7 linked regions of the Macaca mulatta genome follow. The protein of the gene in region 1 purifies or fractionates together with the protein of each later gene. This does not show direct contact. Links are inferred from orthologs where the notes say so. Each region holds a gene or a part of one and is shown in the gene's direction. Other genes may lie near its edges.

What was found.
Region 2: the proteins of DDX5 (region 1) and CTNNB1 purify together in Homo sapiens (affinity purification with mass spectrometry; 3 studies listed by BioGRID, with this or other methods). This does not show direct contact. The link is inferred for Macaca mulatta from reciprocal best matches to the Homo sapiens genes DDX5 and CTNNB1.
Region 3: the proteins of DDX5 (region 1) and HNRNPU purify together in Homo sapiens (affinity purification with mass spectrometry; 3 studies listed by BioGRID and IntAct, with this or other methods). This does not show direct contact. The link is inferred for Macaca mulatta from reciprocal best matches to the Homo sapiens genes DDX5 and HNRNPU.
Region 4: the proteins of DDX5 (region 1) and RBMX fractionate together in Homo sapiens (co-fractionation; 3 studies listed by BioGRID and IntAct, with this or other methods). This does not show direct contact. The link is inferred for Macaca mulatta from reciprocal best matches to the Homo sapiens genes DDX5 and RBMX.
Region 5: the proteins of DDX5 (region 1) and SMARCA4 purify together in Homo sapiens (affinity purification with western blotting; 3 studies listed by BioGRID and IntAct, with this or other methods). This does not show direct contact. The link is inferred for Macaca mulatta from reciprocal best matches to the Homo sapiens genes DDX5 and SMARCA4.
Region 6: the proteins of DDX5 (region 1) and HNRNPR fractionate together in Homo sapiens (co-fractionation; 3 studies listed by BioGRID and IntAct, with this or other methods). This does not show direct contact. The link is inferred for Macaca mulatta from reciprocal best matches to the Homo sapiens genes DDX5 and HNRNPR.
Region 7: the proteins of DDX5 (region 1) and EED purify together in Homo sapiens (affinity purification with western blotting; 3 studies listed by BioGRID, with this or other methods). This does not show direct contact. The link is inferred for Macaca mulatta from reciprocal best matches to the Homo sapiens genes DDX5 and EED.

What each region holds. Positions count from the first base shown.
Region 1 is NC_133421.1:74,397,691-74,400,460, reverse strand, and holds the end of DDX5 (probable ATP-dependent RNA helicase DDX5), read left to right. Parts: intron 1-199; coding exon 200-603; 3' UTR 604-2,270; downstream 2,271-2,770. UniProt on the Homo sapiens protein: Involved in the alternative regulation of pre-mRNA splicing; its RNA helicase activity is necessary for increasing tau exon 10 inclusion and occurs in a RBM4-dependent manner. Binds to the tau pre-mRNA in the stem-loop region downstream of exon 10.
Region 2 is NC_133407.1:104,579,637-104,583,133, forward strand, and holds the end of CTNNB1 (catenin beta-1), read left to right. Parts: intron 1-575; coding exon 576-636; intron 637-1,692; coding exon 1,693-1,901; 3' UTR 1,902-1,913; exon of another isoform or gene 1,914-2,218; 3' UTR 2,219-2,997; downstream 2,998-3,497. UniProt on the Homo sapiens protein: Key downstream component of the canonical Wnt signaling pathway.
Region 3 is NC_133406.1:4,254,134-4,257,633, forward strand, and holds part of HNRNPU (heterogeneous nuclear ribonucleoprotein U), read left to right. Parts: coding exon 1-34; intron 35-322; coding exon 323-442; intron 443-1,172; coding exon 1,173-1,301; intron 1,302-1,403; coding exon 1,404-1,572; intron 1,573-1,877; coding exon 1,878-2,132; intron 2,133-2,424; coding exon 2,425-2,609; intron 2,610-2,986; coding exon 2,987-3,058; intron 3,059-3,500. UniProt on the Homo sapiens protein: DNA- and RNA-binding protein involved in several cellular processes such as nuclear chromatin organization, telomere-length regulation, transcription, mRNA alternative splicing and stability, Xist-mediated transcriptional silencing and mitotic cell progression.
Region 4 is NC_133426.1:143,218,700-143,221,243, reverse strand, and holds part of RBMX (RNA-binding motif protein, X chromosome), read left to right. Parts: intron 1-1,322; coding exon 1,323-1,475; intron 1,476-2,387; coding exon 2,388-2,502; intron 2,503-2,544.
Region 5 is NC_133424.1:11,723,705-11,727,204, forward strand, and holds part of SMARCA4 (SWI/SNF-related matrix-associated actin-dependent regulator of chromatin subfamily A member 4), read left to right. Parts: intron 1-157; exon of another isoform or gene 158-160; 5' UTR 161-188; coding exon 189-410; intron 411-1,315; coding exon 1,316-1,448; intron 1,449-2,227; coding exon 2,228-2,632; intron 2,633-2,955; coding exon 2,956-3,054; intron 3,055-3,500. UniProt on the Homo sapiens protein: ATPase involved in transcriptional activation and repression of select genes by chromatin remodeling (alteration of DNA-nucleosome topology).
Region 6 is NC_133406.1:217,695,343-217,699,326, forward strand, and holds the end of HNRNPR (heterogeneous nuclear ribonucleoprotein R), read left to right. Parts: intron 1-1,944; coding exon 1,945-2,066; intron 2,067-2,203; coding exon 2,204-2,816; 3' UTR 2,817-3,484; downstream 3,485-3,984. UniProt on the Homo sapiens protein: Component of ribonucleosomes, which are complexes of at least 20 other different heterogeneous nuclear ribonucleoproteins (hnRNP). hnRNP play an important role in processing of precursor mRNA in the nucleus.
Region 7 is NC_133419.1:86,850,702-86,854,201, forward strand, and holds part of EED (polycomb protein EED), read left to right. Parts: intron 1-420; coding exon 421-486; intron 487-1,918; coding exon 1,919-2,044; intron 2,045-3,046; coding exon 3,047-3,128; intron 3,129-3,500. UniProt on the Homo sapiens protein: Polycomb group (PcG) protein. Component of the PRC2/EED-EZH2 complex, which methylates 'Lys-9' and 'Lys-27' of histone H3, leading to transcriptional repression of the affected target gene.

The sequences.
Region 1 (2,770 bases):
TAGTTGTGAGTCACATCGTTGTCTACAAATCCATTTAAATGGTATTGGAGGGTGAGTAAAACCTTGAACGGAAAACTTATGTTGAAAAACTGTAAAACCATTTCACGCCTGCAATGAATAGATCTAATTCTTTCTGTCCACAATGATTTGTGTCATAGACATAATTGATCAATTTGCAATTTTTTTTTTTTTTTGACAGGTCGTTCCAGGGGTAGAGGAGGCATGAAGGATGACCGTCGGGACAGATACTCTGCGGGCAAAAGGGGTGGATTTAATACCTTTAGAGACAGGGAAAATTATGACAGAGGTTACTCTAGCCTGCTAAAGAGAGATTTTGGGGCAAAAACTCAGAATGGTGTTTACAGTGCTGCAAATTACACTAATGGGAGCTTTGGAAGTAATTTTGTGTCTGCTGGTATACAGACCAGTTTTAGGACTGGTAATCCAACAGGGACTTACCAGAATGGTTATGATAGCACTCAGCAATACGGAAGTAATGTTCCAAATATGCACAATGGTATGAACCAACAGGCATATGCATATCCTGCTACTGCAGCCGCACCTATGATTGGTTATCCAATGCCAACAGGATATTCTCAATAAGACTTTAGAAGTATATGTAAATGTCTGTTTTTCATAATTGCTCTTTATATTGTGTGTTATCTGACAAGATAGTTATTTAAGAAACATGGGAATTGCAGAAATGACTGCAGTGCAGCAGTAATTATGGTGCACTTTTTCGCTATTTAAGTTGGATATTTCTCTACATTCCTGAAACAATTTTTAGGTTTTTTTTGTACTAGAAAATGCAGGCAGTGTTTTCACAAAAGTAAATGTACAGTGATTTGAAATACAATAAATGAAGGCAATGCATGGCCTTCCAATAAAAAATATTTGAAGACTGAATTAAGTGGAAATTGTACTTTATTTTATATATATAATGTTATGTAAAACTTTGCTTAGATGGTCTGGTTTTTTTTGTTTTGTTTTGTTTTTAATCATGAAAACAAATGACTGCTCCTTTTTATTTAATTTGGGAGGCAGGGGGAATCAGAAGGCCCTTTACAATGAACTATATTGCAGGAGTCAATGAACTGATTTAGGTGAATTTTTAGTTATAGGCTACATTGCATAAAAGCTTTGTCAGCTCCCAACATCAGGGGAGTCATTTAATATAGCCTTTTCCTTATTTGCTAGTATGGTTAAATGAGAGAATAGTGAAATAGATACAAAGTCATCTATGTAATGTGAGAATGTGGATGACTTTGGCAAAATTTATAATTTAAAAAGCTCCAAATAACTGGTTTTTTTCAAGAGATTTATTCTCATGCTCTTGGCTATACTGTGAATTACTGAAATGTTGAACAAACCTGTGAAAGACATACATTCGCTCTTTAAGATGGCCAGGAGCTAAACTTGAGTCTCCTTAACTGATTGAGTTTGCACAACGTTCTCAGTGCAGGTTACTTGTAGATTCTAGTCTTCACAGGCTCCCTGGGGCTCTTAACTGTAGTCACGCTGGGAGTCATGAATGTCTTTCCAATAATTCAGGGAATTTTAGAGATCTTCAAACTGTAAGGTCTATTCATACTCAACACAAGGAAAAAACCTCATTAAAATTAATGACTAATCAGGAGGCAACATAACCAAAAGCACAGTGAATAAAAGTTTTCATGGTAGGTTCAACATGGGTTTATTGCTAGAAAGATCCAGGGGATAGCTTTAGGTTTAACTTTGGCTCACCAACCTAACTTTCTAATCATTTATTTCAGTAATAGCTAGAAGTGGGTCTGAATGTTTTTCCAGAGTTTGATACATGGTTTTGCCAGAAGAGAAGTCTTCAGGAGACTTCATTTAAATTCTGATTATTAAACTGAGGCTTTAATCGATGTTAATGCCTTATGTCAAATGTAAAGTTAGAATTTGCTAGGGTTGGGGTAGGGAGTGATATTTCTAGGACTCAGACATTGAAAACTCATTCAGCCTCTAGTAACCTGGATGGTTTTCAGTGGCATGGTTAGTCAAATTCATGGTTTTAAACTTAGAAGCAGCTTTCGGGGGAGAGGGTAGGTTGGAGCATTTATTACGTATTTTACTGTTTAATGTCTTAACCGTGGGCCTTTTAATTTGTACTTAATGAAATGATTGTGGGGCTGTGGAAAAAATTTACCTATTTACCTTGGAAGTTTTAAAAGACAGTCCACTTTTTAGCATGTGTGTTGTGTCCAGCCTGTGGTTGTCTTTAACTAATAAATGTGATTTTTCTCCCCATTCTCTCTATTTATTTATTTGCGTATAGGCCTCTTACCTGGTGTGAATTCCTGAATGTGGAAAACACCTGGCAGTAGTAGTACCCAGCTTTGCAGTTAATTACTAGATTTGCTTTTCAGCAATACTGTTGCACTTTGTAGCTGGCCTTTTTTTAAACACTTGTAAAGAACTATTTCCTGAACCTGGTACAGCACTTTTATTAATGATAAAAGTTCTAAGTTACATTAACTCAATTGCTGTTACCCACGCTTAATCCGGTGGTAGTTTGGTAGTATCACAGTGAAATGCAGATTGTTCAACTGAGTGAAGCTGGTGTAAGAAATCATGGACTTTGGAATCAGACTTCCTCAGTCTGGGTATACCACTTTTCCACTTTCTGGGAGGTTCTTAAGGTGTCGACTTATTTAAATAGAAATTATAAAGTCAGAAACCTGTGATGTGATCATGAGTCTCTTAAAACAGTCACAAGTCTCGTTTTGATGAACCCATAGAAGGGTCC
Region 2 (3,497 bases), on another chromosome or scaffold:
CTCCAACTCAAAAAAAAAATAAATAAATAAAGGAGAGCAAATTACCAGTGAGTGGTGTGTTACTTGGGTTTTTAATAGGCATCTTATTAACATGTTCCAACTTGAGCCCTTAACTTTCTCCACCTACCCCCTTCCACAAACCTGTTTTGACTGTCTTCTCTGTCTTGATGTCAGCTTTGTCTGTCCAGCTGCTCAGGCTAAAACTTTTCTTTCATACAACACATCCTGTCAGCAGCTCCTGTTTGGGGGTAGGCATTTTGCCTGTTTTTTTTTTTTTTAACTGCTATATCTCTAGCACGTAGAACAGTGCCTGGCAGCACATAGTTGGTGCTTAATATGTATTTGTTGAAAGATCAAGTCAGTGAGTATTTTTAATGTGAGGTGCAAAGAGAAAAAAATGTATCTTTGAGGGGTGGAGTTTTGAAGAACTTCCATTTTCTAAGTATTTGTGTAATGTTGGAGTTACTTGTTTCCTTTGTAATCTGAAAGTATGCTTTAAAAAAATTAGTGTACTTTTAAGTTGAGAATTTTCATTTTGCTTTTTATTCTTTCTTGCCTTGTGCCTGTTTATCTAGACTGCGGATCTTGGACTTGATATTGGTGCCCAGGGAGAACCCCTTGGATATCGCCAGGATGGTATGCGTCTCATATTTCTCGATTAACTCCAGATCAAGCTAAAGTTCTAAAACTTGATCAGAAGAGCTGGTTTGCTCATCTGGGAAACTAGTGTTGGCAGAAAAGTAATGGCTTCAATTAAAAGCAGTTCTTAAATTCCAGTCAGCAACAGTATCTTTAACGGAGCACAGGGAATTCAGAGCCACACAATGAATAGCAATAGGATTACACCACCAACAAATACATGCTACTACTAGGCCTCTGCAGTGTAGGATGTTACAGTTTACCTGGCTTTTTATTCTCTTTTTGGCCAGAGGACTCATAATACCTTTTGTCTACAAGCTACCCAAGGAAGACAGGAAAACTCCTGTCTCTAGGCTCAGATCTGGGGTGGGTTTTTACATAGTTGCATTATCAGGGTTTTCTTGAAAAGCGAATTCACATCTGGGTAATGAACATAGAGGATGGGGTAGACCAGTAACAGTTACAACTGTCTTACATTTATAACCTCATCTGCTTCTACCTAATTATGAAACCACTAAAGCGCAGATTCTTACTGTGACAAATAACATGTCAACCCTAAGATAAAATATGTTGAGGTTTCATTGAAATAGTGCCTTAACTTTCCTTAGTACTTTTGTTGGTGTCACTTGGACTTTTTGTCAAGATAGATTACACCTGCCAGACCTCATTATTGTCTTAATCCTCCTTCCCATGAGTTCTCATTGCCTAGGTGGTCACACAGTAGATTCCTGCTTCTCCTTCTTGGGAACCCCAAGTCTGACAGGGGTAAATGCAGTGTGTTCAGGGTTAGACTAATGATGTGACTAGGCCCTGCTGGTGTGCCTCTCTGATGGAAACAGACGTTATTTGTGTAGTCTCATGGGTGGTCTGGCACTGAGTAATTACTTGGCTAAAAAAAGCTAGAAGTTGAAGAGGCTAGAAAGCATTGTTTTCTGACAAGTTTGCTGCTGAACTTTGGATGCCCTAACCTCAGTGTTAATGTCTATGTCTGTTTCTCTCCTCTCTCTTTTGCCTTCCTTCTTGCCTATTTTGTTCATACCCTGACTCTTCTAGATCCTAGCTATCGTTCTTTTCACTCTGGTGGATATGGCCAGGATGCCTTGGGTATGGACCCCATGATGGAACATGAGATGGGTGGCCACCACCCTGGTGCTGACTATCCAGTTGATGGGCTGCCAGATCTGGGACATGCCCAGGACCTCATGGATGGGCTGCCTCCAGGTGATAGCAATCAGCTGGCCTGGTTTGATACTGACCTGTAAATCATCCTTTAGGTAAGAAGTTTTAAAAAGCCAGTTTGGGTAAAATACTTTTACTCTGCCTACAGAATTTCAGAAAGACTTGGTTGGTAGGGTGGGAGTGATTTAGGCTATTTGTAAATCTGCCACAAAAACAGGTATATACTTTGAAAGGAGATGTCTTGGAACATCGGAATGTTCTCAGATTTCTGGTTGTTATGTGATCATGTGTGGAAGTTATTAACTTTAATGTTTTTTGCCACAGCTTTTGCAACTTAATACTCAAATGAGTAACATTTGCTGTTTTAAACATTAATAGCAGCCTTTCTCTCTTTATACAGCTGTATTGTCTGAACTTGCATTGTGATTGGCCTGTAGAGTTGCTGAGAGGGCTCGAGGGGTGGGCTGGTATCTCAGAAAGTGCCTGACACACTAACCAAGCTGAGTTTCCTATGGGAACAATTGAAGTAAACTTTTTGTTCTGGTCCTTTTTGGTCGAGGAGTAACAATACAAATGGATTTTGGGAGTGACTCAAGAAGTGAAGAATGCACAAGAATGGATCACAAGATGGAATTTATCAAACCCTAGCCTTGCTTGTTAAATTTTTTTTTTTTTTAATATCTGTAATGGTACTGACTTTGCTTGCTTTGAAGTAGCTCTTTAATTTTTTTTTTTTTTTTTTTTTTGCAGTAACTGTTAGTTTAAGTCTCTCGTAGTGTTAAGTTATAGTGAATACTGCTACAGCAATTTCTAATTTTTAAGAATTGAGTAATGGTGTAGAACACTAATTCATAATCACTCTAATAATTGTAATCTGAATAAAGTGTAACATTGTGTAGCCTTTTTGTATAAAATAGACAAATAGAAAATGGTCCAATTAGTTTCCTTTTTAATATGCTTAAAATAAGCAGGTGGATCTATTTCATGTTTTTGATCAAAAACTTTATTTGGGATATGTATGGGTAGGGTAAATCAGTAAGAGGTGTTATTTGGAACCTTGTTTTGGACAGTTTACCAGTTGCCTTTTATCCCAAAGTTGTTGTAACCTGCTGTGATACAATGCTTCAAGAGAAAATGCGGTTATAAAAAATGGTTCAGAATTAAACTTTTAATTCATTCGATTGTGTCACTCTTTTTTTTTCTTGTCATTAAATGGTGAGGGTGGTAAGTTTATCCAACTCAACTTTATACTGAGGAAGATACATAGTGAAGTAATTTGTTATAGCGATAGAGAGGCCCTTCTCTAGATGCAATTTGCCAAGTTTCTTCAGCATTTGGCCCTGGGTTACATTGCACCCCCAAAAACGTGTTTCAGCCTTGCACATTGTGATTAGTTCTGGGCTTTTGTGGGAGAAAGCCAAGCAGACTGTCTATCATCTATCTCTCTCTACCCCAATCTCCCCGATGGTTTGATTCCATTAAGGTAATGAAATATTAACTACCTGGATTTGGATTTGAATCACCTTCACACAAGTGTGACTCATTGGGAGAGGGGAATTCCTTCAACTCTACTTTGAACTAATAATTAAATAGGTTTAAGTGATGATGTTTATCTGAACATAATCAGAACCAGAATGAGCCTTCCACACTATCTATCTGCCAGATGATCCTATCAGTCA
Region 3 (3,500 bases), on another chromosome or scaffold:
ACCAAAGGGGCCTGAAGAGAAGAAAGATTGTGAAGTAAGTGATTTTTTTTTTTTTTTTTAACTGGCATTTGAATATTGTTTGACTGGCACAAAATGACATTTAGAAGAGGTAGATGATTAGTCTGTTTACTTTGTGCTGTACATATTTCTCTTAAGTAACCATTGTTTTCCCCTTATGTTGACTGTTACTCTTTCCATAAACACAAATTTTTGTCCCTTAGTATAAGGGCTATGAAGACTTAGATATTTAAATTGGCCTTAATAGAACAATATTTAAAGAATTATTAGGTGGTGTCTAATGACATTTCATTATTTTCACTAGGTTGTGATGATGATTGGCTTGCCAGGAGCTGGAAAAACTACCTGGGTTACTAAGCATGCAGCGGAAAATCCAGGGAAATACAACATTCTTGGCACAAATACTATTATGGATAAAATGATGGTAAGTAAAATGTTCAGGGCCTCATCTCAGTGTTTAAAATAGACGAGGAGAAGGCTGGGCATGGTGGTTCACGCCTGTAATCTCAGCATTTTGGGAGACTGAGGTGGATGGATCACCTGAGGTCAGGAGTTTGAGACCCACCTGGCCAACATGGCAAAGGCCCATTTCTACTGAAAATACAAAAATTAGCCAAGCGTGGTAGTGGGCACCTGTAATCCCAGCTGCTTGGGAGACTGAGGCAGGGAGAATTACTTGAACCTGGGAGGCAGAGGTTGCAGTGAGTCGAGATCGTGCCGTTGTACTCCAATCTGGGCGACAGAGCAAGACTCTGTCTCAGAAAAAAAAAAAAAGAAAAATGATAGACTAGGAGGTATTCTAGGTAAACCTTTTGCCTTTGTCTGTATCCATTTTGTTAATATCTTAAGAAGGTGGGAGGAAAGGCAAGATTAAGTTGGTTCTTTAAGTAAGCTCTGTGAGGGTAAACTGCCTTCCGGTGGCTAGGCTTCTGTGTTTTTGAGCACAGGAGCTGCTAGTGTTTCTAGAAGCTAAAAAGAATTAAGTGTAGGGTGTAGGGTCTTGTTACATAGTTTAAGTGACCCTGTTTTTGTAACAATAATGGACAAAGGTAATGTATGTTGCCTGCTTTACATATAGATGAGAGTTGAATTTTAAAAAGCATAACTTATTAAAATTCACAAGTTCAAGGGGAAATTTTAACTTTTGAATATAGGTGGCAGGTTTTAAGAAGCAAATGGCAGATACTGGAAAACTGAACACACTGTTGCAGAGAGCCCCACAGTGTCTTGGGAAATTTATTGAGATTGCTGCCCGAAAGAAGCGAAATTTCATTCTGGATCAGGTATGCTGTAGCTTTGAAGATGAAAAATATTAACTGATAATTTAGATAGATTGGTGTAGAATTAACATTTAGGGTTGTAAACATAAATTTCTTTTTTTAAAGACAAATGTGTCTGCTGCTGCCCAGAGGAGAAAAATGTGCCTGTTCGCAGGCTTCCAGCGAAAAGCTGTTGTAGTGTGCCCAAAAGATGAAGACTATAAGCAAAGAACACAGAAGAAAGCAGAAGTAGAGGGGAAAGACTTACCAGAACATGCGGTCCTCAAAATGAAAGGCATGGAATTTTAATTTAATTCTGTTAAGTGTGTTAAATCTTTTTTTTTTTTTTTTTCCATGCATATTCTGCTTGTGTAACTTTGTTATATCTATTAGGACTTACTCCTCTGAAAAGTTAACATTTTTTCCAGCAATACTGCTTCAGGAATTACAATTGCACTTGTTAAATATGCATATATGTTTGGTCTATTTCTGTTTATTTTTAGGAAAATACGTTACTAAACCTTAATAATTTGTTAGCTTTAGGATTGTGGGGATTTGTGGTGGGTTTCTAAGTTAATAATACGACTTTGTTTCCTGCAGGAAACTTTACCCTCCCAGAGGTAGCTGAGTGCTTTGATGAAATAACCTATGTTGAACTTCAGAAGGAAGAAGCCCAAAAACTTTTGGAGCAATATAAGGAAGAAAGCAAAAAGGCTCTTCCACCAGAAAAGAAACAGAACACTGGCTCAAAGAAAAGCAATAAAAATAAGAGTGGCAAGAACCAGTTTAACAGAGGTGGTGGCCATAGAGGACGTGGAGGATTCAATATGCGTGGTGGAAATTTCAGAGGAGGAGGCAAGTTAATTTTGAGTGTTCTGTATTTAGTTCAGGATCGAAACAAATGATAATTTTATAGTTTGGATATAGCTGGTTTCTTCCTCATTAATGGTATGCTGTCACAGTAATTAGTATTCATGTAATTTGACAGTAAATACACCTAGGTTATGTTGTTAATGGTTAGAATTAAACATTACTTTTGTCTTTAAACAATTATTTTTGGAGAAAAAGGAACAATCTAGAGGAATCCTGAGTCTTCTGTATAAGTAGGGTACAATGCAATGAAACTAAAACATCCCTTGTTTTTTAGCCCCTGGGAATCGTGGCGGATATAATAGGAGGGGCAACATGCCACAGAGAGGTGGTGGCGGCGGTGGAAGTGGTGGAATCGGCTATCCATACCCTCGTGCCCCTGTTTTTCCTGGCCGTGGTAGTTATTCAAACAGAGGGAACTACAACAGAGGTGGAATGCCCAACAGAGGGAACTACAACCAGGTAATGATTAAAGATCCCTGGAAGCATGATGATATCTGTATAGCTTAATCTGGAAAGTTGTGAGCTTTATGTTGGGGTGTCTTAGTAGTCCATAAGGAACATGATAGGCATTGACATAAGGAAAATTGAACTAGTAATGGTGAAATGAGTCTACTTACTTTTGAGTTTTTTCAGGTGTACTAATTAACAAGTCAGATGCGTTTCTCATAATGAATAAAAAATAAAAACTAAGAAACCAGCAGAGGGTATCCAGAATTTGTATATTGCCCCCTAAGATTAGGGGCTAGCAACCTGTCCATTTCTGCTCCTCTCTCCCACCCCCGCAAACCTAACAAGCGATTGGGCCCAGAGCTCTTAGATCTGTTTCCTTTTTGTAGAACTTCAGAGGACGAGGAAACAATCGTGGCTACAAAAATCAATCTCAGGGCTACAACCAGTGGCAGCAGGGTGTAAGTAATTTCTTACGTGGTTTATGTACATTAATTGTATTTTGAGTTCCTAAGATTTATCAGTCTTGAAAAAGATCCTGTCCAGGGATTGAAGTGTTTATAAGTGTTAATAGGGTAAAGTGTGAATCGTGTTGCAGTAGTAGCCATAATCTACCTTTTGAAGGCAAAATAGGTTGAAAATTGCTATAAGTTAAATTTTTTTAATGAAGTAATATTATTTAATATATACAGTTCTTTTTACTGTTAGCTTTAATTGTGTAAACTAACAAATTCATGATGTGTTTCATTTTGTAATGTGTATTGATAATTATGGGATATTAAAACTAAATCTGGTAGAAATCAGAGGTATGACAAGTATAAATTTGTTTCCAGCAAATTACTCTGAATTAGATTCATTGTCATTTCCTAAAAACAGTTTGAGTGGCTTATTGATGTTTTTTCT
Region 4 (2,544 bases), on another chromosome or scaffold:
ATTGATAAGCCAAGGTGTTGGACATGAAAATGAAATCATTTTTCTTTTATTTATTTATTTTTTTTGAGATGGAGTCTCGCTCTTTCACCTAGGCTGGAGTGCAGTGGCGGGATCTCAGCTTACTGCAAGCTCCACCTCCCGGGTTTACGCCATTCTCCTGCCTCAGCCTCCTGAGTAGCTGGGACCACAGGCGCCCGCCACCTTGCCTGGCTAGTTTTTTGTATTTTTTAGTAGAAACGGGGTTCCACCGTGTTAGTCTCGATCTCCTGACCTCGTGATCCACCCGCCTCAGCCTCAGCCTCCCAAAGTGCTGGGATTACAGGCTTGAGCCACTGCGCCCAGCCCATTTTTATTTTTTAAAGTTAGCTGGGCATGGTGGTGGGCGCTTATAATCCCAGCTACTCAGGAGGCTGAGGCAGAAGAATCACTTGAACTCGGGAGGTGGAGGTTGCAGTGAGCCGAGATCGTGTCACTGTACTCTCCAGCCTGGGGGAACAGAGTGAGACTCCTCAAAAAAAAAAAAGTTTAAGACTACCTTCAGTTCTTACTTCCCCAGTCTATATAACTGCACTGCATGTTCCGTCAAGTACAAGTGAAACTAGACTAGCCAAATTAATAATGGTCATTTTTGTTCGTTCGTTTGTTTTTGGGAGACAGAGTTTAGCTCTTGTTGCGCAGGCTGGAGTGCAGTGGCACGATCTTGGCTCACAGCAACCTCTTCCTCCCAGGTTTAAGTGATTGTCCTGCCTCCGCCTCCCGAGTAGCTGGGATTACAGGCATGCACCACCACACCTGGATTTTTGTATTTTTAGTAGAGACAGGATTTCACCATGTTACGCTGGTCTTGAACTCCTGGTCTCAGGTGATCTGCCTGCCTCGGCCGCTCAAAGTGCTGGGATTACAGGCCTGAGCCATTGTGCCCGGCCTAATGGTCATATTCTTCATGAAGCAAAGGAAATTTTGTAGTGGCCGAGTTTGGTGGTTCACGCCTGCAATCCCAGCACTTTGGGAGGCCGAGGCAGGAGGATCACAAGGTCAAGTTCGAGACCAGCCTGGCCAGCATGGTGAAATCCTGTATCTGCTAAAAAAAAAAAAATACAAGAAATTACCTGGGCATGGTGGCGCACACCTGTAATCCCAGCTACTCGGGAGGCTAAGGCAGGAGAATTGCTTGAACCTAGGAGGCGGAGGTTACAGTGAGCTGAGATCCCGCCACTGCACTCCAGCCTGGGCGACAGCGAGACTCCGTATCAAAAAAAAACTCTCATATCTTTCTTGATTCTTGTGAGTAGTAATATTTTTCTTTTCTATTCTTGATGTAGATGACGGTGGATATTCCATGAATTTTAACATGAGTTCTTCCAGGGGACCACTCCCAGTAAAAAGAGGACCACCACCAAGAAGTGGGGGTCCTCCTCCCAAGAGATCTGCACCTTCAGGACCAGTTCGCAGTAGCAGTGGAATGGGAGGGAGAGGTAAATGTTCCATGTATGACAATCTGTGCTACTACTGTAACAAAGAATTGAGAGGTAAATGATGCTTAAAAGTTTAATTGGCTGGGCGTGGTGTCTCATGCCTGTAATCCTAGCATTTTGGGAGGCCAAGGCAAGAGATTGAGACTATCCTGGCCAATGTGGTGAAACCCTGTCTCTACTAAAAAAATACAAAAATTAGCTGGGCATAGGGTGGGTGCCTGTAATCCCCGCTACTTGGGAGGCTGAGGCGGGAGAATTGCTGGAACCTGGGAGGCGGAGGTTGCAGGGAACCGAGATGATGCCACTGCACTCCAGCCTGGCAACAGAGAGACTCCCTCTCAAAACACACACACGCACACGCACACGCACGCGCACGCACACACCCCCCTAGCTTTATTTGTGGAGTCTGGGCGCGGTGGCTCACACCTGTAATGTTGGTACTTTGGGAGGCTGAGGTGGGCGGATCACGAGGCCTGGAGTTTGACGCTAGTCTGGCCAACATGGTGAAACTCTGTTTCTACTAAAAATACAAAAATTAGCCGGGCACGGTGGAGGGTGCCTGTAATCCCAGCTACTCCGGAGACTGAGGCAGGAGAATCACTCGAACCCAGAAGGCGGAGGTTGCAGTGAGCCGAGATCACAGGACTGCACTCCAGCCTGGGTGACAGCGAGACTCCATCTCAAAAAAAAAAAAAAAAAATTTTGGTCATGTGTTCTAGGTGATCTAGATAAATGGAATTAGCACTGAAAAAAATTTAAAATGTGAATCGGAAATTCTAGAAAAAATGAGATGATCTAGCCTCCGTAATGTCATCTTTGAAGTCAGTCTCGTTTTCATAGCCTGAATGTAAGTTCACGTTTTAACTTCTTTCTCTGACTGTGTTTAAAAAAAGTGATGTAATTTTCCTTAAGCTCCTGTATCACGTGGAAGAGATAGTTACGGAGGTCCACCTCGAAGGGAGCCACTGCCCTCTCGTAGAGATGTTTATTTGTCCCCAAGAGATGATGGGTATTCTACTAAAGACAGGTAATAGAAAATTGCAGCTTTTTAAATTAATAATTAAGGTTG
Region 5 (3,500 bases), on another chromosome or scaffold:
TTGCACTTCCTCTGAGAGTGGTCGTGAAGAAAAGGTTCAGGTGACTGGGGTGAAAGGTGCTGGCTTCCTGTCGGAAGGAGATTCTGATGTCCCTTGCTATCCCTGTCCTGCCTCACCCTGGGTCGTGAACCCCAGACTGACTGGGACTTTCTGCCAGCAGGAGGCCACTGTCTGCAGCTCCCGTGAAGATGTCCACTCCAGACCCACCCCTGGGCGGAACTCCTCGGCCGGGTCCTTCCCCGGGCCCTGGCCCTTCCCCTGGAGCCATGCTGGGCCCTAGCCCGGGTCCCTCACCGGGCTCCGCCCACAGCATGATGGGGCCCAGCCCGGGGCCGCCCTCAGCAGGACACCCCATCCCCACCCAGGGGCCTGGAGGGTACCCTCAGGACAACATGCACCAGATGCACAAGGTAGGGGCCCCTGCCCCCTAGGGCTGCAGGCAGCCTCTGGACCGAGGGCCTTACTCAGAGGACGGGGGGGAAGCCTTCTTGTTGGAGGTGGCATGCCTTGGCTCAGCCCCCTACGCCGGGGCCCATGGCCGTGAACAGAGGGGTCAGCTCGTCGGACTCCAGCCTGTGCTGGCACATGATCTGGGCCTGAGCAGCACATCGTGGCCCCTGCGGACACCTGCCCCACCGTTTCCGCTCCCTTGCTTTCTGCGTGGGAAATTTGGGAATATCACTCCAAAGTTTTCTTTTGGTAACGAAGAAAAACATCCAAATTACTAAAAAGGCTTTTAGCCACGTTGTTTCCCCCGTTCTGGCTGTCGAGCTCACCTGTGCCGCTCGCAGAGCCGAGCAGCGGGTGCCCTTTTCTCCAAGGCGCGCCCCTCAGCCACTCTCTTTACCACTCACCTGCGCTGAGCAGGACCTTCAGTCAGCGAGGCGGAGAAGCCTCTGTATGGTCACAAGTCTCTTGTGTGTGTCCCTGGGCATGGTTAGAGGACATATTCTCTTATACATACAACATCTGAAAGAAAAGGTCGTATTAGCATCCATAAGAAAAGTGATGTTTCTAAGTGTCGGGGCCACAGGAGGTCCTGGGTGGTGGAAGATGAGGATTGCCTGGCCACAGTCTCCCAGGTGCTCGTGCTCCACTGGGTGACATTTATTTTGTGTACCTGTCTTGAGGCCTAAGTAGGTGTCAGAACCCTGCCTTAGAGCCAAGCCGTGTAGTAACGCTGGGGACTGGGGAGATGCATGTTGTCATAGGTGGCCATTCTCAGTGCCCTCGAGCTTCTCTTGGGCAGCGCATAGCCGTGCCACCACCTCACGTTCCACATGCTCACCCTGCCTTGTCATGGTCCCTCTCGCAGCCCATGGAGTCCATGCACGAGAAGGGCATGTCGGACGACCCGCGCTACAACCAGATGAAAGGAATGGGGATGCGGTCAGGGGGCCACGCTGGGATGGGGCCCCCGCCCAGCCCCATGGACCAGCACTCCCAAGGTACCAAACTGCTTTCCTTCCTGTCTTGTGTTTGTCATACACCAGAGTCCTCAGATCATTTTCTTCCCCTGGGTTCCCACAGGATGGATTCCGGGAGTACCTAGGATGATTTAGCCAGGTGGGTGGCCTGCCACAGAGGGCTGTCTGGCGTGGCATGGCTGGTGCTCTGTTCTGGCCACCTCGTCTTGGAGCAGCCCCAGAAGGGGAAGTGCTGGTTGGGGGGCAGACCGTATTCAGCATGGGTGATAGAGGACGGCTGTGCAGGGCAGCAGCCCCATGCCACTGAGGAACTTACTGAAAATACAGATTCCTAGGGCCTGGGACTCTGCTTTAATGAGCCCAGCAGGTGCCTTTTCTGTACGAGGACAATTGAGAAGTGATATGGTGGGTGACTTGCCAAGTTCTTGCTGTCATCAGGGGTGGGAAGCTCAGGGGCTCCACTGGGAATGGAAATGTTGGGAGCGGGCCCAGCCAGCCCGAAGATGTGGACCCCACCTGTGGACAAGCAGGCGGAGGCCGGGAGAGAGCCGTGATTTCATGCACAGGTTCTCAGCATTAACCAGCAGCACCTTACTGAGACGTGGGTTAAACCAAATCCACCATGCCGGCTACTGGGCTGAGGTGTCTCCAGCGCGTGCCCTCCAGGTGCCCCTGATTGACTCAAGAAGGATGCCATTTGGTCGTGCCCTGTCTCAGAGTAGGAGCTGGTGTAGGGAAGAAGTTGTAAAAATCACAGACGTAGGCTGCCTAGTGACCAGTGGGCTGGCCTTTCTCTGCAGGTTACCCCTCGCCCCTGGGTGGCTCTGAGCATGCCTCTAGTCCAGTTCCAGCCAGTGGCCCGTCTTCAGGCCCCCAGATGTCTTCCGGACCAGGAGGGGCACCGCTGGATGGTGCTGACCCCCAGGCCTTGGGGCAGCAGAACCGGGGCCCAACCCCATTTAACCAGAACCAGCTGCACCAGCTCAGAGCTCAGATCATGGCCTACAAGATGCTGGCCAGGGGGCAGCCCCTCCCCGACCACCTGCAGATGGCGGTGCAGGGCAAGCGGCCAATGCCTGGGATGCAGCAGCAGATGCCAACGCTACCTCCACCCTCGGTGTCCGCAACAGGACCTGGCCCTGGCCCTGGCCCTGGCCCTGGCCCCGGTCCCGGCCCGGCACCTCCAAATTACAGCAGGCCTCATGGTAAGGCTGGCTGCCCTGGCCCTCAGGTGTCTCAGAGTGAATGGCTGGGGCGTGAGTGGAGGAGTGGACAGACTGGGCTCTGCTGCCAACTGGGTTCCCCGGTTTGGGATTGCACGGGCCCATGCTGCACTTCTGGGTGCTCGGGTGGTGGGGGCAGCTGTCCTGCTAAATGCTGTTTCCCCAGCTCCCTGCTTCCCCTGGGGGTGCTGGTTAATAGGTGTATCTGCTGTGTCCCCTGAAGCCAGGGCTGCCCACGGGGCTGGGCGCAGGCATAAACCTGGGGAGCACTATTTTCTCTTTTGTTTGTTTCTCCCTACGTGTAGGTATGGGAGGGCCCAACATGCCCCCCCCAGGACCCTCAGGCGTGCCCCCTGGGATGCCGGGCCAGCCTCCTGGAGGGCCTCCCAAGCCCTGGCCTGAAGGTGAGCTCCCTCTTCTATGGTGGTGCACCCATGCCCTGACTCCCCGTTGCAAGCTTGGGTGGCGCAGGCCTTGAGATGAGCCCTGGCAGGGAGGAAGGGCCAAGGTGGCCAGCCCGAACCGCAGCCTGCACTTTTCTTGTGGTGGTCCCCAGGTCTCCCCTGTAGCCAGTCAGTTCCCAATGACTGTCATTTTATCCCATCCCTCGTGGCCTTCACCCAGTCCCTGAGCCCTGTATATGTGGTTGCTCAGTAAGTGCTGCAGGCTCCCATCTGGTGGGCTCAAAGAGACAGTGGGACTCATTACCCACCCTCTTGGAGCCTGAGGTTTAGCGATGGGCATTGAAGGGCAAATTGCTTCCGTTGGATTTAGCACTGGGAGGAGACGACAGGAAATGCTGCTGTAGAGCCACAGACAGAACACTGAAGCCTCAGGGGTGTGGGGCTGG
Region 6 (3,984 bases), on another chromosome or scaffold:
TAAAAATTAGCTGCTGTAAACACTAAATAGGTAATGAATATATTATAACTACTTAGTTTACCTCAGTTTGTGTACCTATGAAGGAAACTGAGTGGTGTACATGACTCATACAGTATTTGAGTAGATGTATTGTGATGAGGGTATGATTAGTTTTACCTTTATTTAATCATTTTAGAGTTAAAATAGCATTCACTATGTTTTACTGATTTCAGTAATTGTTAGAGATATCTCTTGTGTATAATAGTTGATTTAGTCTTTGATGATAATAAGTATGAAGAAAGTATTTTCATATGGTATTTGGAACACAAAACCTGCTTTCTATTGACAATGGGTTCGGACTATCTTTAATGGGTGAAATTTTCAGTTTCTTTTTCTTGTTCATCTCTCCTTCCTTGAGGTGATGGGAAGCAAGACAAAACACTACTAAAATCTTTTTTATGTTACTGGGAAGATAGATCCAGAATGCTTAGTGACACAGGCATGGTTCTTTTTTGGCATGTTTGGTTGGTGGGATACTACCACCTCTAATTTGAGCATTTTTTGGTTTTGTTTTTTGCCCAGGGTGCTGCTTTTAAAACAGGCTTTCTAGAATCTCTGACTCGTTTATAGTTAATCGGCTTGCTCATTGATGATAGCTAATTAATGAGGCAGTATTGTTCATAAAATTCATAACTTGTCCAAGATCACAAACTCAGTAATAATCTGGCTTTGAAGTATGGAATCTTATCTGTTATACTGTTACACTCTTATCTGTTAATGTGTGGCGTCTGAAATTTTTACTGGTATAGAATGCAGATAACTAATAATTTTATGCTTTCCAAATATTCCTCCTGACTCAACTGGTTTTAAATAACTGGTTGTCCTGATGGAAAATATTTATAGGATGGTTTGCCAAGGAAGCCTATTAAATTATAAAATATCTAGTCCAGGAACTGGGAGTCACCAGGATGGTCGGGGCAGAGAGTAGATGTTTCATTTTTTAATTTATGCCAGGAAGCTTTTGTAAACTTGTTTAGTTGCTTTTACTGAAGCAGTACAGGGAAAATTGCAATCTTGAGGACTAGTTTCATTTTTGTCTAGATACTTATAAATCACTAATAGCTCGTTATAAATAGAACATTTTTTTATGTGTGCCCAGAGTGGGGAGAAAGGTATAGGGAAACAAAAAATAAAATATGAGGAGGTGACATTTTGTTACTGAGTACCTGAACCTTTTGATGTATGGCAGAGGTTGTTGGGTGGAACAACATGAACAAAGGGCTAGAACATGGAATGTTTGATTACTGCTTTCTACGTAATTGCTTGAGTCTTCATTAGTCCAGGCCTTTTCTGGCTCTGTACTTTAAACTGTTCAAGCAAAATACATTTCGAGTTAAGCATTGTGAGGGAAACCTAGGTTTTTTTGTGTTGGTATCTTGAATTTTACAGATAATCTCACTCTGTAACCTCATTTGTGCTTCAGATCCTTGAAATTTTTGTATAAGAACAGTGTAAGACCTGTATGTTGTATGCTACATGTTTATTTAAAAATTCTAATCCTGAAAAGTTAATCTTTGGTTCGTATTAATATTGGCATTTTTCCCTGGTATGGATTTGCTTCTTTGGTGTGGATTTGCTTCTTAGGTATGGCTTATCTTTTAAGGAGTTAGTTATTTGGAATTAAGGAGCAGCAATAGGTGGCAGCCCTTTTACCTTTTAAAATACAGTATCAGGAGGTAGGTTTTGTTCTAAATGTCATTTACATATAAAAAGATAAGGTCTAGGGAAACGTATTTTCTTTGTGTTTGTGTTTAACTTTCTGGCTAGATTCACCTTTTGGCCATTTAAAATAATTGTGCAGTAAATTATTAAGTATATTAAATGAGTCAAGTATGATAGCATGCACACTATATAAAACATATAGTTTTATATCATAAAATAAATTAATTTTTCAATTTTTTATAGGCTATGGATGAAATGAATGGCAAAGAAATAGAAGGGGAAGAAATTGAAATAGTCTTAGCCAAGCCACCAGACAAGAAAAGGAAAGAGCGCCAAGCTGCTAGACAGGCCTCCAGAAGCACTGCGTGAGTCTACCTTTTAGTAGATATGTCTTTGGACAAGGAATCTCCATTTGATAATGGAGATTGGATTAATAAAACACAATCAGAGTCTTGAAGCAAACTGATTTGTTTTTTCTTTTCTCCCTTCCCTCCTTTGCTAGGTATGAAGATTATTACTACCACCCTCCTCCTCGAATGCCACCTCCAATTAGAGGTCGGGGTCGTGGTGGGGGGAGAGGTGGATATGGCTACCCTCCAGATTACTATGGCTATGAAGATTACTATGATGATTACTATGGTTATGATTATCACGACTATCGTGGAGGCTATGAAGATCCCTACTACGGCTATGATGATGGCTATGCAGTAAGAGGAAGAGGAGGAGGAAGGGGAGGGCGAGGTGCTCCACCACCACCAAGGGGGAGGGGAGCACCACCTCCAAGAGGTAGAGCTGGCTATTCACAGAGGGGGGCACCTTTGGGACCACCAAGAGGCTCTAGGGGTGGCAGAGGGGGTCCTGCTCAACAGCAGAGAGGCCGTGGTTCCCGTGGATCTCGGGGCAATCGTGGGGGCAATGTAGGAGGCAAGAGAAAGGCAGATGGGTACAACCAACCTGATTCCAAGCGTCGTCAGACCAACAACCAACAGAACTGGGGTTCCCAACCCATCGCTCAGCAGCCGCTTCAGCAAGGTGGTGACTATTCTGGTAACTATGGTTACAATAATGACAACCAGGAATTTTATCAGGATACTTATGGGCAACAGTGGAAGTAGACAAGTAAGGGCTTGAAAATGATACTGGCAAGATACGATTGGCTCTAGATCTACATTCTTCAAAAAAAAAAATTGGCTTAACTGTTTCATCTTTAAGTAGCATTTTGCTGCCATTTGTATTGGGCTGAAGAAATCACTATTGTGTATATACTCAAGTCTTTTTATTTTTCCTCTTTTCATAAATGCTCTTGGACATTATTGGGCTTGCAGAGTTCCCTTATTCTGGGGATTACAATGCTTTTATGGTTTCAGGCTTCATTTTAGCTTCAAAACAAGCTGGGCACACTGTTAAATCATGATTTTGCAGAACCTTTGGTTTTGGACAGTTTCATTTTTTTGGATTTGGGATAGATTACATAGGAGTATGGAGTATGCTGTAAATAAAAATACAAGCTAGTGCTTTGTCTTAGTAGTTTTAAGAAATTAAAGCAAACAAATTTAAGTTTTCTTGTATTGAAAATAACCTATGATTGTATGTTTTGCATTCCTAGAAGTAGGTTAACTGTGTTTTTAAATTGTTATAACTTCACACCTTTTTGAAATCTGCCCTACAAAATTTGTTTGGCTTAAACGTCAAAAGCCGTGACAATTTGTTCTTTGATGTGATTGTATTTCCAATTTCTTGTTCATGTAAGATTTCAATAAAACTAAAAAATCTATTCAAAACATTACCTATTTCAAATTCAATTGTGTCCTAAAACATTATTTTATTCGTAATCCTTGCAAGGAATATTGTTTTCAAAGTATAACTGCCTATGTGAGTGATCAAATTCATGCAAAATTTCTTGTCTATTCCAACATGTATTGTGGATATTAGACTGAGGATTAGTCTAAATTCAAGTATTTATTCCAATTAGCACTTCATTGATTGGTGTTCTCTCATAGTCTCTTCTAATTTTGAAATTTTATCTTTTATTTTTAAAAAAAAACAGGTTCATAGACTTTTGAGCATTCTTGCAGGCATTGGATAATTTGTGTTAAAACAAATAAAATGTGGCTGGGAAAGCAGACTGCAATCTATTTTGACCCACATTCTTTATAAGGGATAATTTGTGACTGAAGACCTTATTTGCTGGATAAGTGAATGTACATACAGGGAAAACTGTTAGTACTGTGGCGTCAATTGCACTGCGGACTTTAGTTTTAGTAAACGTGATTGTGACTACCA
Region 7 (3,500 bases), on another chromosome or scaffold:
TCTCAAACTCCTGGGCTCAAGCGATCCACCTGTCTCAGCCTCCCACAGTGCTGGCATTAAGTGAGCCACTGTGCCTGGTCTCCAAAAACTTTTTAATTATGAATTAAGGGATGATAAACCACAACTACTTTGGGGTTTTTAACTTTATTCACTTTGAAGAGTTGGTGCAATCAAATGGATGAAATATAAGTTTAAAAGTTTGGAAATCAAAACCATTATTACTGGAGTATTTAATATACTCTGTGTATTATGTAAAACATTCAGCTTTATAATGGCTTCTTTAAGCTCACAGGAGGTATTTTAAAGCAGTAGTTTCTATAGTATATTTAAAATATGGTTGTGATTAAAATATGTTTAAAAGTTGGAGAGAGTATGTTTCTATACTTGAGATGAAATTTACTGTATTTTTGTTTTCTTTAGGTTACCTTGTACGAATGTCATTCACAAGGAGAAATCCGGTTGTTGCAATCTTACGTGGATGCTGATGTATCCTTTCCTGGGTTTTTAATATCTTTGGTCAAAGGAATTTATTTTCTTTTTTTTTCCCCCCCGAGACGGAGTCTCACTCTGTCGCCCAGGCTGGAGTGCAGTGGCCAGATCTCAGCTCACTGCAAGCTCCACCTCCCAGGTTTACACCATTCTCCTGCCTCAGCCTCCCGAGTAGCTGGGACTACAGGCACCTGCCACCTCGCCCGGCTAGTTTTTTGTATTTTTTTAGTAGAGACGGGGTTTCACCGTGTTAGCCAGGATGGTCTCGATCTCCTGACCTCGTGATCCGCCCGTCTCGGCCTCCCAAAGTGCTGGGATTACAGGCTTGAGCCACCGCGCCCGGCAGGAATTTATTTTCAATAAGTGCACCAAAACTTTTATAAATTAATCAATTCCCTAAAGTTAGTGTCCTTTCTTAACCTATTTCTTCACTATCACCCAAGAGAATCCAGGTATCTAGTTTTCCTGACCCTTAGAAATCCATTGTGGTATGTGTCAACTCAGCTAGGCAAAAAGAAAAAGAAGAAAATCCATTGTGGGATTGATGTGCTGGTTGGGTGCAGATGTCTAGAGAGATAGGAGCGTTAGAAATCTAGTAATAGAAAATGTTAGCAAAGACTGGTTAAAACCTCCTTTTTCTTTGACCTTGTCTAGAATATATCATTTCATTGTAGTTATAATGATGAACTTGGGTTGTGACTGGTAGTCATTCCAAGTATTTGATCAGTGAAGCCTAGGAAGAAAAAAAAAGTTTAGGAAAAATAAAATATATGCATATTATATATATATAATATATAAAAAATAAAATAGGAAATAACATATTGCAAAACAGGTTCATAAAGAAACAGAAAAATTTGAAAAGCCCAAGAGTTAGAGCAGTAAAAGCTAAATAATAGGATATTTCTTCCAGATCAATTTGAAAAACCTAGCAAACAAGGCAAGGCAAGGACATTCAGTTTTCTCTGAAAGATACTAAAATGTGACCTGTTGTTATATTGAGAATATCTCACAAAGAAAGAAGTGGAAAACTGAATTGTTCTTATTTAGATATTTATAGACGTATGGGGATAGAGCAGAGGTTAAACTACAGCTTGCAGGTTGGCCACCTGTTCTTGTAAAGTTTTGTTGGAACACAACCGTGCCCATTCGTTTGTATATTGTCTGCAGTTATTTTGGTACTACAACTACAGAGTTGAGTAGTTGTACAAGCAGCTAAAGAGTAAACAAAATTGAGTGGAGAGACTAATTTTGTTTGATCATTTGTTATGGATTTTAGACCTCAAATTACCATTGTATATATTTGGTTGTATAAGGAAAATTGAAAACTTTTGTGTCAAAACCTTTAGCAGTTCTTTGTAAATTTCTATTATAATTATTGACATGTTTCTTTTTCAAAAACATTGTGTTTCTTAACTGTGGAATTTCTTAGGCTGATGAAAACTTTTACACTTGTGCATGGACCTACGATAGCAATACAAGCCATCCTCTGCTGGCTGTAGCTGGATCTAGAGGCATAATTAGGATAATTAATCCTATAACAATGCAGTGTATAAAGGTGGGTTTTTCTGGTTGAATTGTAGATCTGCTTCTTTTGAATCCACAACTGTAAAAGCTTGTAATGTTAAATTTAAAACTAATGGTATGAATGTAACATTTCTGATTTGATTTGTACTTTTCTTACTGCTCTCTTTAGATGAATCTTTTGAGACCTTTGTCACATTTGGGTAATGTAAATTGAGGAATAAGTGGAGAAATGTTAATATTTGTAGTGTTTTCTTTTTAAATAATTTACCTCCTTCACCCTTGTCTTGGTTTGCCTTGAGAGGCTCTAAATGAACAATAAGAGCGAGTCCATTTTCCAAGACACCTAAACTGGAGGGGGGTTGTCAAAGGGACTTTGTAAGGAACATAAAGATGAAGCCTAGGAAGTTGATAAGAAGAGAAGTTTTTCAAATCACTTTCATCAGCTGTTTTTAACTGTGGGGACACATCAGAATCACCTGAGGATCTTTTAAACCCTACACATATTGGAGCCTCCGCTAATCCGATCAGAATATCTGCAGGTGGAGTTTTGAGCATCTTTTTTTTTTCTGCTTTTTTTTGTTGTTGTTGTTCTTAGACAGTGTCTCACTCCTTTGCCCGGGCTGGAATGTAGTGGCATGATTATAGCTCACTGCAGCCCGTCTCCTGGGCTCAAGTGATCCTCCTGCCTCAGCCTCTCAAGTAGCTGGGGCCAATTTTTAGTTTTTTTTGTGTGTGTGTATGAAGACAGAGTCTTGCTACATTGCCTTGGCTGGTCCTGAACTCCTGACCTCAAGCGATTCTGCCTTAGCTTTCCAAAGTGCTTGGATTAAAGACATGAGCCACCCACTGTGCCTGGGCCCCCTTTTTTTTTTTTTTTTCCTTTTCACTTCAAGTTTGTTGGTTGATTTTGTATGCAGCCAAGGTTGAGAACCACTACTTTAAGTGAAACTATTTTTACGTTCTCTAAAGATTTATGAAAAAGAAAGTACTGATTTTGAGATGGGAAACTTGAAATGTTTTAAATTTATTGTAGCACTATGTTGGCCATGGAAATGCTATCAATGAGCTGAAATTTCACCCAAGAGATCCAAATCTTCTCCTGTCAGTAAGTAAAGGTAAGAGAAGCAAATGTTTCTTTAGTCTGTGCAGTTTGTCAGCATTAAGATGGAGTCACTAATGTCAAGAGAACCTTGACAAATAGGAAAAGCCATGAGAAGAGAGTTCACATGGTTGTATGTCTGATCATAATAACTCACAAAAAAACACAGCCACAACCTTGCACAAAGGCCATCACAACCTTACACAGAAAATACTGCCAGTAAGTGCCTTTCCACTCTCAGACTGGCATCACCCTTGTTACTGATTTTGTGGCCAATCTTATTTCAAAACAATTATGTAATCCTTCTCATTTTTTTTCTTTAAAAACCTCTGTCTTTCCTTTACCTCTTGGAAAACACACATAATTTACTTTGGCATGTACATTCTCA